Linked DNA regions of Arabidopsis thaliana. The protein of the gene in region 1 interacts with the protein of each later gene in a pairwise test. Each region holds a gene or a part of one and is shown in the gene's direction. Other genes may lie near its edges.

What was found. Proteins that work in one complex are often made in the same cells at the same time.
Region 2: the proteins of TRB2 (region 1) and ETL1 interact in a two-hybrid assay, tested with the Arabidopsis thaliana proteins (one study listed by BioGRID).

Annotation. Positions count from the first base shown.
Region 1 is NC_003076.8:26,953,200-26,961,004, reverse strand, and holds TRB2 (Homeodomain-like/winged-helix DNA-binding family protein), read left to right. Parts: upstream 1-3,230; 5' UTR 3,231-3,481; intron 3,482-3,897; 5' UTR 3,898-3,931; coding exon 3,932-4,081; intron 4,082-4,158; coding exon 4,159-4,379; intron 4,380-4,463; coding exon 4,464-4,548; intron 4,549-4,621; coding exon 4,622-4,705; intron 4,706-4,802; coding exon 4,803-5,162; 3' UTR 5,163-5,437; downstream 5,438-7,805. Other genes in the region: WIH1 (cysteine-rich TM module stress tolerance protein), read left to right, coding at 779-824, 912-1,068, 1,206-1,251; FRO1 (NADH-ubiquinone oxidoreductase-like protein), read right to left, coding at 1,649-1,705, 2,013-2,042, 2,224-2,353, 2,538-2,626, 2,774-2,932; DG1 (Tetratricopeptide repeat (TPR)-like superfamily protein), read right to left, coding at 5,525-6,109, 6,182-6,589, 6,670-6,827, 6,918-7,011, 7,109-7,222, 7,334-7,525, 7,635-7,716. UniProt on the Arabidopsis thaliana protein: Binds preferentially double-stranded telomeric repeats, but it can also bind to the single G-rich telomeric strand.
Region 2 is NC_003071.7:519,616-527,646, forward strand, and holds ETL1 (SNF2 domain-containing protein / helicase domain-containing protein), read left to right. Parts: upstream 1-3,607; 5' UTR 3,608-3,865; coding exon 3,866-4,450; intron 4,451-4,646; coding exon 4,647-4,764; intron 4,765-4,844; coding exon 4,845-4,885; intron 4,886-4,969; coding exon 4,970-5,220; intron 5,221-5,289; coding exon 5,290-5,470; intron 5,471-5,579; coding exon 5,580-5,765; intron 5,766-5,850; coding exon 5,851-6,024; intron 6,025-6,106; coding exon 6,107-6,265; intron 6,266-6,356; coding exon 6,357-6,434; intron 6,435-6,531; coding exon 6,532-6,668; intron 6,669-6,758; coding exon 6,759-6,977; intron 6,978-7,106; coding exon 7,107-7,269; 3' UTR 7,270-7,453; downstream 7,454-8,031. Other genes in the region: IDD4 (indeterminate(ID)-domain 4), read right to left, coding at 649-1,045, 1,366-1,555. UniProt on the Arabidopsis thaliana protein: DNA helicase that possesses intrinsic ATP-dependent nucleosome-remodeling activity and is both required for DNA repair and heterochromatin organization.

The DNA of each region.
Region 1 (7,805 bases):
TTCTTTTTCCTTTTATGATCTTGAATGGGTTCAACTTTTCATGGTGATGTGAATCTTTTAGTATGGATATTAATATTCGAATATTACAATATGATTATCTATGACATGGGAATATGGACTAACATGTGGGTGGATAAAACTCATATTTTTCTCGAATTCTGAAATTCTCTCAAACTTTTATTCAAGCGAGGAAGTTGTATTATATTTGGTTTTCTTCTCCTATTATGATAGTACAAGGATAACGATGGATATTGAAAAATTGACGGAAATGTATTCATTGTATTAGCAAAAGAAGAGGGTAAATTATGTGTCAAATAGTGATTTTAACTTCATAGTAACTTAAACTTTTTTTTGTCAATTTGTTGACATAATTTGCTTAATTCTTTTGAATTTGAAACATATGATGCAGCATTTTGGAGTTAGAATTTAAAACAGTGTAAATTTATGATTACTAAGAACCCCTTTTCTGATATTTTTATTCCATAATTAATGATTCTAGTAGTAGAGTAGTTGAAATTAAATTCTTGTACGGTCAAGTTTCTAGCACATTAGAAGAAGATCACCTAATTTTCAAAGAAATTTAATCGTAATCTTTATGATGCAAGAAAGACTTTATTTAAAGAATATTTCCTTTATTTTCTGGTTCCTTTATTAAATTAAAAGTATATATCATTATTCCTCACCGGCATAGCTTCGTTATAAAGGAAAGGAACAGAGTTTGCTTTTAAACAAAGAGAGAAAGAAAAAAAAGCTCAAAGAACTCAGAAGAAGAAGAAAGATGTATCATCAAGAACAACATCCTGTCGGTGCTCCTCCTCCCCAAGGTATTATCTCTTTTTCTTTAGTTTTGGATAGTTGGTTTATCTTCTTCGATCTGCTTGTTTAATTTGCTCTTGAATTTCGGTTTAAAGGGTATCCACCTAAGGACGGTTATCCTCCGGCCGGTTATCCTCCAGCCGGTTATCCACCGCCAGGATATGCTCAGGGATACCCTGCACAAGGTTATCCTCCGCCGCAGTACTCTCAAGCTCCGCAGCAGAAGCAAAACGCCGGTATGCTTGAAGGATGGTACGTTCTTGATCCCATCTTTTCTACTTTATATTAACTTTATTTTGGTTTCTTGTTTTGCTTTGTATTTAGGTTTTAGTGGAATAATACTGTATTAGTTAATATATGTCTTTGCTCTGTTCATAAATACGTCACAGTTTGGCTGCGCTCTGTTGTTGCTGTCTCTTGGATGCATGTTTCTGATCGGAGGATAATTATATACGTTGCCTCAGTCAACTTTTATTTCCTCATATATGTTATGTAATGTTCAACAATCTTTCTTCTGTTGTTATCTTCTTTCAATTCGAATTTTGGTATCTTATGTTTTATTGACTCCGACCATAATTATCTCTCTCTTTCATAATCCAATCACACGAATTCGAAATAAACCAGTAAAGAAGTGATCAGAAATCTTGATGAAATATCAAAGGAGTGTGTTTCATCATCATCATCATATTATTGTAATAAGTAAACATAGCCATGGATAATGGTTCTTTTCAACCAAAAAGCTCACAGATGCTAAAATAACAAAGAAACATGAGAATTAATATCAAATGAGGTTTCTTCTTTTGCTCGAGAAGAATTGGAAGAAGGTGTAACATCAGTTTTCTGGTTGAGGATTGCCTTTCCACTTGAAGTTGTCCGAGTAAGACTTGACCTGCAGTTAGATGTTAGATGATGAACAATCATGGGGTTAGGTTAAAACTTCAATCTAAAGAATGTTCTACCAAATAAATCAAAGGAATGAAAGAGACTATCGCTCGTCAAACTAGTAGCTAAATCTTAAACTAGAGGCACCAAACCATTTCTGATGAAGCAATATGAGTTAAGTTAAAGAATATCCTATCTATTTAACACAACATTCAAGGGTCGTTCCAGTGAATCTCCAGCTTTAGGGTTAAACACCTCATATGAGTAGAGCTCGTAAGTCATAATGCGGCATTAGCAAAAAGATAGTTACTAACCTTCAATAATGGTGTGTTGGGCTTCTTGACCTGCAATGATTTAGATGTAAGTTTTTCAGTACTCTGAATTCTATATTAAGGGATCTTAAAACAGAACCATCACAATGGTGATCGAAAAAAAAAAAAAACAGAACCATCACATTCTCATAAAATGTGAGTGAATGCGACCAGAAAAAAAAATGAGCTAAAAACGAAGAAGGAAACAACGTACCTTATAATCCCAACCATGACGCTCAGCAAAAGACTTAGCAGCTTCTTCAGAATCAAAAGCAAGAGCAGAGTCACCAACATTAGCATAGGGGTCACCTGTAGAAGTCCATCCCATCAACGGATTCTCCCACCTAGAAACATATGAATGCCATAGATAAGTGATGTCAATCGAAATCTAATCAACAAGTGATGGACTAGTACTAGTCACAAGCAGAAGACTTAAGTTTTGAAAAGATAGGAATTTTAAGGATAAGAATCATATTAGGACATAAAATGTGAGGAAAAGAGGATTATCTTAATCAAAAAGTAGCATACTTTAAGGTGGAGACGAAGTTAATCTTCCATTTTCCGAGTTTTCCAGATCCTGACTGGGTAGCTGTTCTAGCAGGTGAGTATATTATCACCTGTTAATTTCCAAATTCAATACTCTTAGCACTATTCGATTGACCAAAATCAAATCAAGAACACGATGTAGCTCAATTAAGACGATTCTCTGATCACGAACCCTAATTTTCTAAACTGAATTCGTAAGAAATCGAATGCTTATTTACCTTGCGAGAAAGATGCTCCTCTGGGATTCCGGAGACCTTACCGATCTCACCACGCTTGTAATCCGACTCAACCACCGCGTCAGTAGCGAAAGGTCGAGCAACACGCCGGAGCGTCGCCGCTATACGGATAGTCCTTTGAGTAGTAGCACAAAGCGCCATCGTCAATTAGAGAAATCTGGAAAATTGCTGAGCTTTTTGATTTCGCTTTGGTTTCTTCTACTTCTGTAGATTTTAGAAAGAAAAAAAAAACACATATTTCAATCTAGCCATCAAAATTTTATAAATTACGCTTTCGGTCTTACTATTATATGAAAAATCTTTAATAGCCCCTAAACTATCTGTGAGATTTAACAACGATAAATTTTATAGATACATTATTTTTAAAAAATAGTACTAGTATATTTTATTCAGCTTGATCCTATTCATTTAGTTGGTAGGTTTTATTGTGTAATTTGATAAACTTGAGGCAAATTTGTGAATGTGGAGAAATATAGGGTTACATCTTCCTTAGCTTGAATACAAAAGAAAAGCTCAAGTTTGTTTCTCGTTTCTATGGATATTCTTCTTCCTTATGCTAGCCTCTCTGGTCTTCTTCTTCTTCGTTCGTTTCAGCGAATCACATTTGATCTATGACACATCTATACAAGGAATTAGCTTTCATCATCAAGTCTCTCTCTCGAAAACTCTCCTTTGGTTTCGTTTGATCTGGCATGCTTCTTCTCCTCCTTCCTCCTTTCTGCTTCCTTCTCTGAATTTTCCATTTTTGTTTTTAATTTTCTACGATCGCCCCATTTGAATTTGGTTGATAATTTAGCTATCGCTTTAGATTGATGGCTGTATTTCCAAATTCCTGTTGATTTGCGACGTTGTTAATGGGCTTTGATCCTCTTTTTTTGGTTCGAGATTGCTCGAATCACTCATTTTTTTGTTGAATTGAGCTTTGGGGCGTATCTAATTTCTTTGGATTTGTGTAGTTACATTTTTATGTTGTGGCTTTGTGTATCTGCTGGATTTAGATGACCAAAATTTTGTATTGGATAAGAAATGTTCAACAATGGCTTTGATGTGGTTAAGTTTCGTACGATTTAACAGATTCTAATGTTAGCGTTCACATCTATTGGCAGAGAAAAGAAGAAATTCAAATATTGATAACTGTGGATGGGTGCACCAAAGCAGAAGTGGACACCGGAAGAAGAAGCAGCTCTTAAAGCTGGAGTTCTTAAGCATGGGACTGGGAAGTGGCGTACCATACTCTCGGATACTGAGTTTAGTTTAATCCTTAAGTCTCGCTCTAATGTTGATCTTAAGGTAATACAATATAATATGCTTTTTGGAGGTTGTGATCGCGTGTTTCGGACTAATCTTGATAGTTCAAGGCATAACAGGACAAATGGAGAAATATAAGCGTGACAGCTTTATGGGGTTCAAGGAAGAAGGCTAAACTTGCGCTTAAGAGGACTCCACCAGGTACTAAACAGGATGATAACAACACAGCTCTTACCATTGTGGCTTTGACTAATGATGATGAACGTGCAAAACCAACTTCCCCCGGAGGTTCTGGTGGTGGATCACCACGCACTTGTGCTTCTAAGAGATCAATTACAAGGTTTGGTTCCCTGACTTATGCACCACATAACGATTTTCTTGAGTTCATAAAGATTTGATCTTGCGCTATTGTCTGTTTTTGTAGTTTGGATAAGATCATCTTTGAGGCAATTACCAACTTGAGGGAACTACGCGGTTCTGACAGAACATCAATCTTTCTGTATATAGAGGTATTTCTACCATTGGGATTACATGTTTGGTTGGGGTTTGTTGCATACTTACTTAGTAGCTGTTAAATTTCAGGAGAATTTCAAGACTCCACCGAATATGAAAAGGCATGTCGCAGTACGATTAAAGCATTTATCATCGAATGGAACATTAGTTAAGGTAAACACACAACTTTTGATTCAAGATTCATGATCACTAACACTTCATTACTCTCAGAATTTTCAAAAATACTTACTTGGTGATTTCTCACTTTCAGATAAAGCACAAGTACAGGTTTTCTTCTAATTTTATTCCCGCAGGTGCAAGACAGAAGGCTCCTCAACTCTTTCTGGAAGGAAACAACAAGAAAGACCCAACAAAACCCGAGGAGAACGGTGCCAACAGTCTCACTAAATTCCGAGTAGACGGTGAATTATATATGATAAAAGGCATGACAGCTCAAGAAGCTGCAGAGGCTGCAGCAAGAGCAGTTGCAGAGGCAGAATTTGCTATCACAGAGGCTGAACAAGCAGCAAAAGAGGCAGAAAGAGCAGAAGCAGAAGCTGAAGCTGCTCAGATATTTGCAAAGGCAGCCATGAAAGCTTTGAAGTTCAGGATCCGTAATCATCCTTGGTGAAACAGAAAGAAATAGCCATCATGGGGAAGTTCTGTAACAAAGCAAGCCATAAAATATATATACTTAGTGGGTTTACTGGTTTCTTAAGAGTGCCGATCTTGAATCAGGCGATATCTCATCACCTGCAGAGTTTTTTAAGTTTCCAAACCTATCTGCTCTCTTTTTTTGGTTAGTAACAGTGTAAATCCGCAGTTTGATCATATGTATGTTCTTTCTCCGAATCTGAGATTCTGTATAACTGATCTTTTATTGTATGTGGATGATCTGTTTAGTAACCTTGAAACTATTTTGAAGTGAGATGAGTAAGCAAAAAAATTGAGATTTTGTTCTACTAAAGATTTTGAGGAAATTTACAAGCATTTTCATTCTTTCTTACTACTCTCTTCCCATTCTTTCAGAATGTCATAAACTGAAAGTGAATCAGAGTCGCTAGATTCTTCATCATCATCAATCTCGAGTTCTTCTAGACCCAACGTTTCGAGTTCAGTCTCTGTAAATTCCCAAGCTTCACCATTAGCACTATTATCATCTTCCATTGTTGTATCTTGCAGAAGCAAATCTTCCTCCGGTTTTTCGCCCTGACTTTGAGTTGTTACATCTACGGCTAACAATGGTTGTGCTGAAGAAGAAGAAGACCCACATCGAGATTTCAATGACTTTGAGAGGTTTGAGACCGTTGGTTCACTTACATAATCACACTCAATGAGATGATCCGAGAGCTTATGAAGATTATCTTGAGTAAGCCAGTCTTGATGCTCCTCAAAAAGATCAGTCCATTCTTCTTCACTAATCTGGAAAGATGCGAGAGCCACAGTGTTAATCAGTGTGATAGCTCTTTGGAAATCGCCTTTAGCTGTGGCATGACACAACAGTTCAGTGAAGAACAATGGGTGAGGGATTTCTCCATCTTCAAGTACTGCATCGAAGGCATGCTCTAGAAGACTCCACTGCATTAACAAACAAAATTAGACAACAGCTTATGCTTCCATAAACACTTAAACTAGACAAAGATTTGTTACCTTCCCGGCTCTTGATGCTTCTATCAGCATTGATGCATGTTTTGTTTGATCCATTTGGTAACCAGAAAGAACCATCGTTTGATACACATGTTCAAAGTATTCCCATTGCAGTGATCTAGCTGAAGCTTCAAGCATGAAGCTGTATGTATACTCGTTTGGAACTAAATGAGTCTCTTTTCTGCTGACAATCTCTTCAAACAATTCTTTAGCTTCTGAAAACATATCATTCCTTCCGTAAACTTTAAGCATCATGTTCGCAGTTCCTATATTCGGATCACATTTATCTTTCATATATTGGAATATAGCCATGCAATCATCAACATGACCACCGTTCAATGAAGCGGCTATGAGTCCTGTGAAGGTAATCTCGAGCGGCCTGCAATTTTCAAGTCTTTTCATCCTCCCCACCTGCATTAATGAATTATGAAGAAAGTTAATTTTGTGGGTTTCTCTGAGAAGCAAAAAGGGTAAAGTAGGAGGGAACTTGCTTCGAGCATTGCATCGCACCAACGCCCGTTGTTGCACAGACAGCATGCCAATTCATAGTAAACTGAACCCGTTCCTATAACTCCCTTTTGTTCCATATCTCTGACTGCTTCAACAGCTTCTTCGATCTTGCCTTCTCTCCAGAGAGCTCGGACAAGAACTGAGAATCAATCATACGCTATAAGAATCATATCACCTTATAGATACCAAAATGAAGTAACCTAAATATACAGAGAGAATCAATATTTACCCTTGTATGTGATTGCTTTTGGAGCTTCGCCACTGCTTTTCATCTTCCTAAAAAAATCGTGAACACGATCAAACTTCCCTGACTCCAGCATAACCTGTCAAAATGACATCTTAAGACCACCCTACATATTTGAGGGTACCCACAAATACTACACCACAGCAGTTCGTTTATGTTGGAAAAAAGAACGCTACCTCCATCGCAAGCCCATATGTAGCTCCATTAGGCCTCAAACCATTTTTTCTTAACTCTACAAATACCCATGAAACAGCCTTCCATTGGAGTGTTGGAACACAAGCGTTAAGAATCTGGGAACCAGTGAAGCCAAGAATTGATCACACAGCAATAAGATACAGTGATTCGCTGCATAGTGCATATAGATATTAAACGAAGTTTAAAACTCGGAAATGCTCACTTACAGCGTTGTATACAACCAAGTCAGGTTCAAGCACAGGATCCCAGTTCTTTTGCCGCAAATTCTTAGTTAGTTTAGTCGGTTTCTGCCTCATACGCTCGATTACTTTAAGCAACTCCTTCAATAAACCCGCTTGCCCAAGTGTTACAGCAATACAGTGGTACGCCGCCATATCAGGATATAACTGGCGATCACCCTAAAGTGACTAAGGAATGAGAGTTAATCCAAAAAACGCAAGATGCTATAGTACAACGATCATCTACATCAACCATATCACGAACTGACTTAAATCAGAAGCCACTTACAAGCATCTGATTGAATATCTGAAGAGCTTCCTGTGGCCTCCTCGCAAACCCAAGAACGGACAAAAGCTTGGTGTAAACAAATCTGTAGAAACCAGTCTTGTATACAATCAGAAATCAAGTTTTACAGATTCTATGGCCATGAAAGTTGAAATCTTTTCGCCAGGAATACAT
Region 2 (8,031 bases), on another chromosome or scaffold:
AACACTGTAATAAATATAAGTAACGCACTCTTACCAAATATGTATGTATCTATGTACGTATATATAAACATACATAGAGAGAGAAAGAGATAAGAAGAGGGTCCACAAATGAAGAGGAGTTTCGTAAAAAGGGGAACCTGCAAAGTGAAGAAGAAGAAAACAAAAGTAGAAAATAGAAAAACAAAATCCAACTCATGCATGTGAGTATGTGACCAAATTTAGCATCTTTTAAATTTTCTTACTTTCTATTCACTGTCTTTCTCTATTCACTACTCATCAACAACCAAACAAATACATTGATAGATCCTATGTACATTGTGACTACATACAATTTATAGGCGGTGTACTCGAGGTTCAAATTCCGTGGCCAAATATACAATATTTCAGTCACAGATGGTTATATATATTTGGTATTTTCCATGTAAATTAGTAAATAAGCTAAGTTTTACATGCAGTGTTGAATGCAGCTTTTACTTAGAATAGTTTTGCATTATAATACAAAATAAAGGTGGTCCATTAATTGTTATACTTTACCAAGATAAGAAGGTATATCTAGATGCCACACACACTGACACATATATTATACGTTTCATCACTTAAATCAAATACGAACAAATTATTTAAATGAAATGGATAGAGATTAGTTACCTAGAGAAGATGGTACCACAGTCACATCGATACTCTTTAGTACCACAAGTCTTAGAGTGAGCTTTCCAATCTGATTGAACAGCGTAACGCTTAGAACATTTCTCACATTTCCACTTCTTTTCGCCATGTTTACGGTAATAATGCTTCTTGATTCCGGTGAGGTCTCCGAGAGCACGTGACGGGTCATGGTGAACGCACGTTGGCTCCGGACAAAGATACACTTTCCTCTTCACTTCTTTGGTTGATTTTTGTTTCAGCTTCCATGGGAGATTGTGTCCTCTTCGGTGAAGCTGTAGATTTTGTTCTCTTTGAAACCCTTTGTTACATACATCGCATATGAATCTGTTTGTAGCCATTAGTGTCTTTGGAGATAATGCTACCACTTCCGCATCAGGATCTGTTTCATATAATTAAAGAATTTAATCATTTAAATTAAGTCACCAATTAGACCCAAAATGTCAATCTATGTAGACTATATCGAAAAAAATGATACACACACATGTAAACATAAATCAAATGACATATACACGTATAAACATATAAGATATACTGGCCTGTCAATATATATGAAATCTTGATACTAGCTAGATATACAAAACAAAATAGAACAAATGATTAGGGTTCTTTTTCTTCTTGGTATTATCTTAAAGCTTATATATAGTGATTCTTATAGAAAGGTGATAAATATATAGAGATTTATATGTAAGAGATACTTGCTTGGGTTTCCGGGTTGGTTTCTTCGTTTCTTGGGTGGTGGAGCTGAGGAGTTAGGTTGTTGAATCATTGACATAAAAGTATCTTTCCGGTTAAAGTCGTTATCTCCGGTGCCGGAGCTGGTGATGAAGAAAGGCTGAGCAGAGGATGATGATGAAGGAATAACGCTTGTGTTATATGATGATGACGACATCTTTAGATCTTCTTCTTTGCGTGGAAGAGAATAATCTACAAATAATTCGTAAGACAAAAAAGTTAAGAAGAAAACGAAGGGAGGAATTATAAGAACAGGAAAAATCCATAGAGATTGACGACATGAAGAAATTTTATAAAAACCATTTCACTAGAAGACATAAACAAAGAAAAACAAATTAAGAGTTTATACTTTTGTTTTTTGTTCCTAAACTTTTGAAAGAATTAAGAGGAAAGATTTCTAAGTTGTATTTTTCTTGTACCTGAGATCAAGAGAAAGAAACCAAGTAGAAGAAGGAAAAAAAATAGTCAAAATTAAAAGCTATAAATCGGAGCTAAAGAAAGAACCAAGAAGAAGATGATGCATGATGATGATGATGAGATAGAAGATGATGATGAAGAAGAAGACACTATTCCTATATATTATGTATTATAATACAAACACAAACCTCAAAGCCCTATCTCTCTCTATCTCTATATCTCTTTCTCTCTCTACTGTTTTGTGTTCTTCTTCTTTTAAAAATAAGCCATATATGAAATGATCTTGAAAAGTATGTCTCTAAGGTCCCCTCTCTGTCTCTATCATTTTATTTTATTTCGATTAATATAAAATAAAGCTACTTTTTTTCTTTCTTATAATTTAATTTGACAGAATTAAGAAGGATGGTTACGGTTTGGGTGTCACTGTTAAAACGGTGAAATGTGTCCACATGCGGGGGTGTGTTGTGGGTACCACATTTTTCTCATTCGTATCTTTCTGGTGAGCTTTAAGACAAAACCCTCGTTTTCTCTTCATTTAACTTGATTAGGTTTTGTTGTACTAACTTTTTTTTAATTGTTTTTATCTAATAAAATCGTTTATAATATAACATATCGTATATTAATACACATGATACACCAATCAATAGAGAATTTTTTAAAATTTGTTAGATTCTTGTATGAAAATTAATATATTGCTTTTCTTCTTTGGTTCAATTCTTCAACCTTTCAGAATGTTCAATGCAAAACAATCGAACCGATTGGTTTTGAATCAAACCTAATTAATCCTGAACGAGTAACCAACTCTCAACCGATCTGAATAGATTTTAAAACGATATATCACAAAATCTCCAATATCACTTTAAGAGCTTTGAGAAAATATTATTGATATATTATTATTCGACCGTAAAGTTTGATTTTCTCCTTTTCACTTGGGCTTTTTAATCTTATACAATTTAGTTTTATTTTAGTTTACAAACGACAACATATTTAAGTAACAGGTGACTTCTCAACTTGATCCTCTCTTCATTACCATCGATGCTTTTTAAGTTATACTGAGATCGTACCAACTGCAATGGGTCAGTGCCGGGCCATATTCAATCAGGGCCTCCCTGATTGGGTTGTAATATGATTTCAAGTTAGTAATATGAAATAGCACACAGTCACGCACACAAAAGAGCCTATATAAGGAGAGATATACCACAAACAGCCCAAGACCCAGTTGTTTTAGATGAACCAAAATTGTATGGAAATATTTAGTATTTGAAACTGCCGTCACCAAGATGGCAAGGTCAGAGAAACTCAATAACAACTCTGTTTCTGCCATTCCGAGAGTTAATATTAATTTTCAGAGTTAATGGATTAGCTAGTAAACATATATATACAAATGATAATAACCTGTAGAATGAGGATTAAGATCGAGAACGACGAGGTTATCTTTACCGCAACATTCCAAACGTAGCCAAAGCTCTATTACCATACCCCTCAATGTACATATCCAGCTTATAAGACTCCTATCCAGTATCCACCATCCAACGAAACACACTCTCAGATTCTTCCACATTATGAATACATGTCAACCAAATAATTTCTCACCTCAACCATCATTTCAAAACCAAATCTTCAAGCAAACCCCATGGATTTAAAAACCCTTTTCAAGTGCGTCAAACAAACCACAAGCTTTTAGATTTGTCGAGAAAGTGAAGTCGTTGGGCCCATTTCTTCGGATCCCTTAAGTTCACCATTAAGTACTCATTAGAGCCCATTTCTTGGGGCCCATTAAGAGATTAAGTCCGCGCGCATAGCTTTTGGAGGATGCCGCTCTTTTGTAAGAAGCAACACGTTGTTGAGTCTCTAACCTTTCTTTGAAATCTTGACCTTTCCCTTCCTTCTCCGCTAAATTCGTTTTAATTTCATCTTCTTCTTCTTCTTCAATTCGATGCAATAATAGTCACTTCAATCTCAATCTAGGGTTTTCAATTTTCTTCATGTGAATTTTTTTTCCCCTTCTTCTCAATTTCAATTCAATCTGGGATTCGTAAATTCTCGGAAGATGAAACGCGATTTCGACGAAATCTCCGAGGAAGAGTGGTCTCAACACTCGTTTAACGCTTCGCGAGTTCTTAAACGACCACGGACTCCGAAGAAGACTCGCGCGGCGACGAATCCAACGCCGTCGATTGAGTCTTTTGCGTTTAGGAGACCTTCGACGGCGATGACGATTGAGAGTAATAGCAGCGATGGTGATTGTGTTGAGATTGAGGATTTGGGAGATTCGGATTCGGATGTGAAGATTGTGAATGGTGAGGATTTGTTGTTAGAGGATGAAGAAGAAGTGGAAGAGACTAAGGTTGTGATGCGCGCTGCGAGAGTTGGTAGGAGATTTGTGATTGAAGATGAAGAAGCGAGTGATGATGATGATGATGAGGCTGAGAGTAGTGCTAGTGAGGATGAATTTGGAGGAGGAGGAGGAGGAAGTGGAGGAAGGAGAGGAGAAGATGAAGATGTTGTGGGGAAGGCATTGCAAAAGTGTGCTAAAATCTCAGCGGATCTTCGAAAAGAGCTTTATGGTACTTCTTCTGGTGTTACTGATAGATACTCTGAAGTTGAAACTTCTACTGTCAGGATTGTCACACAGGTACTGGAAATTATCACTTTGGTGTTCTTAAAGTAGTTGCTTTGAGACGATTTAGAGTGTCTTCCTTATACAATTGTGAAGTAACTTTTGATTAGATAGCATATTTTGGTGGTAAGCTTTGATTGGTTTGGTTAGAGTTTACTGTTTTGTTAACTAAAACTTGTTTACTTTTGGGTTGAATCTGTGATGATCGCAGAATGATATTGATGATGCATGTAAAGCAGAGGATTCTGATTTTCAGCCTATACTCAAGCCGTACCAGTTAGTTGGTGTTAACTTTCTTCTTCTGTTGTATAAGAAAGGAATTGAAGGAGGTATGTGTTTTTACTAGTTTCGATCTGTAAACCTTTTTAGCGTGAATGTCACTTTGTAACTCACTTTCTATTGTTTGTAGCCATTTTAGCCGATGAGATGGGTCTTGGAAAGACCATTCAGGTGCATTTTGCTCTGTTATTACTGGATAAGTTTTCTTTGTTTCTTTATCTTATAAAGAACTAATTTTGTTCTCATTTACCTTAGGCAATCACATATTTAACCCTCCTAAGTCGCTTAAACAATGACCCTGGTCCTCATTTGGTTGTATGCCCTGCCTCTGTCTTGGAAAACTGGGAGAGAGAGCTCAGAAAATGGTGTCCGTCGTTTACTGTACTTCAATACCACGGAGCTGCGAGAGCAGCCTACTCAAGAGAATTGAATTCTTTGTCAAAAGCTGGGAAGCCACCACCATTCAATGTGCTTCTTGTGTGTTACTCTCTGTTTGAACGGCATAGGTGCAACTCTTGATGCTTTTATTTGCTTTTTGGCTTTTCCTGTTACTCACAGATGTTGGAATTTTACAGTGAACAACAGAAAGATGACCGAAAAGTACTGAAACGGTGGCGCTGGAGCTGTGTTTTGATGGATGAAGCCCATGCGTTAAAGGATAAGAATAGTTATAGGTGGAAAAACTTGATGTCTGTGGCCAGAAACGCAAACCAGCGTCTTATGCTTACAGGAACGCCTCTACAAAATGATTTGCATGTACGGTTGGTTTCTGTTGATTTTTTCAGGATCTAATTACCTAATATAGACGACATTTCTTCATGTGGTCATACAATGCTTATTCCCTGCATATGTTTGGTCTATGCAGGAACTATGGTCGCTGTTGGAGTTCATGTTGCCTGATATATTTACGACAGAGAATGTTGACTTGAAGAAGTTGTTGAATGCAGAAGATACTGAGTTGATTACTCGAATGAAATCTATCTTAGGTCCTTTCATCTTGAGGCGTTTAAAATCTGATGTCATGCAGCAACTTGTTCCGAAGATACAGCGGGTATGGATATATCTATGCACAATTAAGTACACGATATTAATCTTCTAGCTGCAAATCTCATTAATTTCCCATCAATCCAATGCAGGTTGAATATGTATTAATGGAGAGAAAGCAGGAAGATGCATATAAAGAAGCCATAGAGGAGTATCGTGCTGCTTCTCAAGCACGGCTTGTGAAGCTTTCATCAAAATCCTTGAATTCTTTAGCCAAGGCACTTCCAAAGCGTCAAATTTCAAACTATTTTACTCAATTCCGGAAGGTAATTCTCAGCTACTAATACAAAGCCCCTTTTGTGCCAAATGAGTGTGTTATTCATGTGTTATTAAATTTTGGTTGTACAGATTGCAAACCATCCATTGTTAATTAGGCGGATATACAGCGATGAGGATGTCATTCGCATCGCCAGGAAATTGCACCCAATCGGTGCATTTGGATTTGAATGTTCCTTGGATAGAGTTATCGAGGAAGTTAAGGGTTTCAACGATTTCCGTATCCACCAGGTAAATGTTTCTCTTTCCAAAAGCAGTTGAATATCCATTAACAAACATGTTATGCAATTGAAGAAGCTAACTAACTTGTTTCTTTCCATAGCTTTTGTTCCAATATGGAGTTAACGATACCAAAGGAACTCTCTCAGACAAACATGTCATGCTCTCAGCAAAATGTCGGGTACGTGATATTCTTCTTCATTTCATAAGTCTTCTTTGTGAAACTGATTAAGTATAACTAAACCTGTGAGCGATCTAAATCTCCCTTTATGTATCAGACATTAGCTGAGCTTCTCCCTTCAATGAAGAAATCCGGCCATCGTGTTCTAATATTTAGTCAATGGACATCGATGCTCGATATCTTAGAATGGACACTTGATGTCATCGGCGTTACATACCGAAGACTTGACGGCAGGTAATAAAAGAAAAAAGAGTAATTTGTCACATTTTTGACGATTCTACAAAAAGGAAGAAGCTTAAGTCATTTTCCTTTTGTTTTCAACAGTACTCAAGTTACAGATAGACAAACCATAGTCGACACATTCAACAACGATAAGTCGATATTCGCATGTCTCTTGTCAACTCGAGCAGGTGGACAAGGTCTTAATTTAACCGGAGCGGATACAGTCATTATTCACGATATGGATTTTAATCCACAGATTGATCGGCAAGCTGAAGATCGTTGCCATCGTATTGGTCAAACAAAACCAGTCACTATCTTCAGGTTTGAGCTTTAAATCCTTGAATCAGTTTAGATAACTTTCAGAACAAAATTGTGGTTTGGATTGGTTTATGTGTGCTCTGTTTTGTATTCTCACATATATCTGTATTAACTCTGGCAATGCTGGTGCAGACTGGTGACGAAATCGACGGTTGATGAGAACATCTACGAGATAGCGAAGCGGAAACTAGTTCTTGATGCGGCGGTTCTAGAGTCCGGAGTTCACGTAGATGACAACGGAGACACGCCTGAGAAAACCATGGGAGAGATTCTTGCTTCTCTTCTCATGGGATAACATTATTGTTACCTTTTTTGTTTTGAGGTAAAATTAGTCAAGAAACGAAGTTAATGTGTTATTCTAAACATGTGTAACCACTAGCTATTATTAGACTTAAATTTAATAGATCACGATAGTTATATTTTCTTCTACGCATGTAAATTATAACCCAAAAATTTCCTTCTTTAGACCTAAAAGTCACAATTGTTCCAAACACTAAAATGTGGATCAGTGATCAAATGAAGTGAACCTTCAGGATAGTTTAGTCTTCGATCATCAAAGATTGTATAAAGGAGTGACTTAGCTGTATTTGTAGGTATCAAAATTGAAAACCTCACGCAATGATTAAAGGTCTCAAGTATCTTTATTCGTCAGAGTTGTATAAGACACAAATCTCACTAGATTGTTTTCCCATTGTCTTTGCCGAAACCTAACAATGAACAACTAGTTCTATTAGGATTGGTTCAAGAATGTCACATAGTATAAGTTTTTCTTAGCTGAAAAATTCTAGATAACTTGGAATAAATTCTAGATAGTCTTTTTTTTTTGCTACATTTGAAGATAAATATCTATGAAAATGTTCAAATTCATGATTATATTATTGCGATTAAATAATTGAATATGACTATACAAAATAATTCACTAGTAAATCAAAGCCATACTAAGTTTGGATTCTTTGTGGTAACTGCCATTGCCAAGTCACGTTTTGAAGGTGTTCTCATGGTCAATTTACACTTAAAATTGAACCTGAAAACTAAGGCCAACCGGAAACTTGTTGAA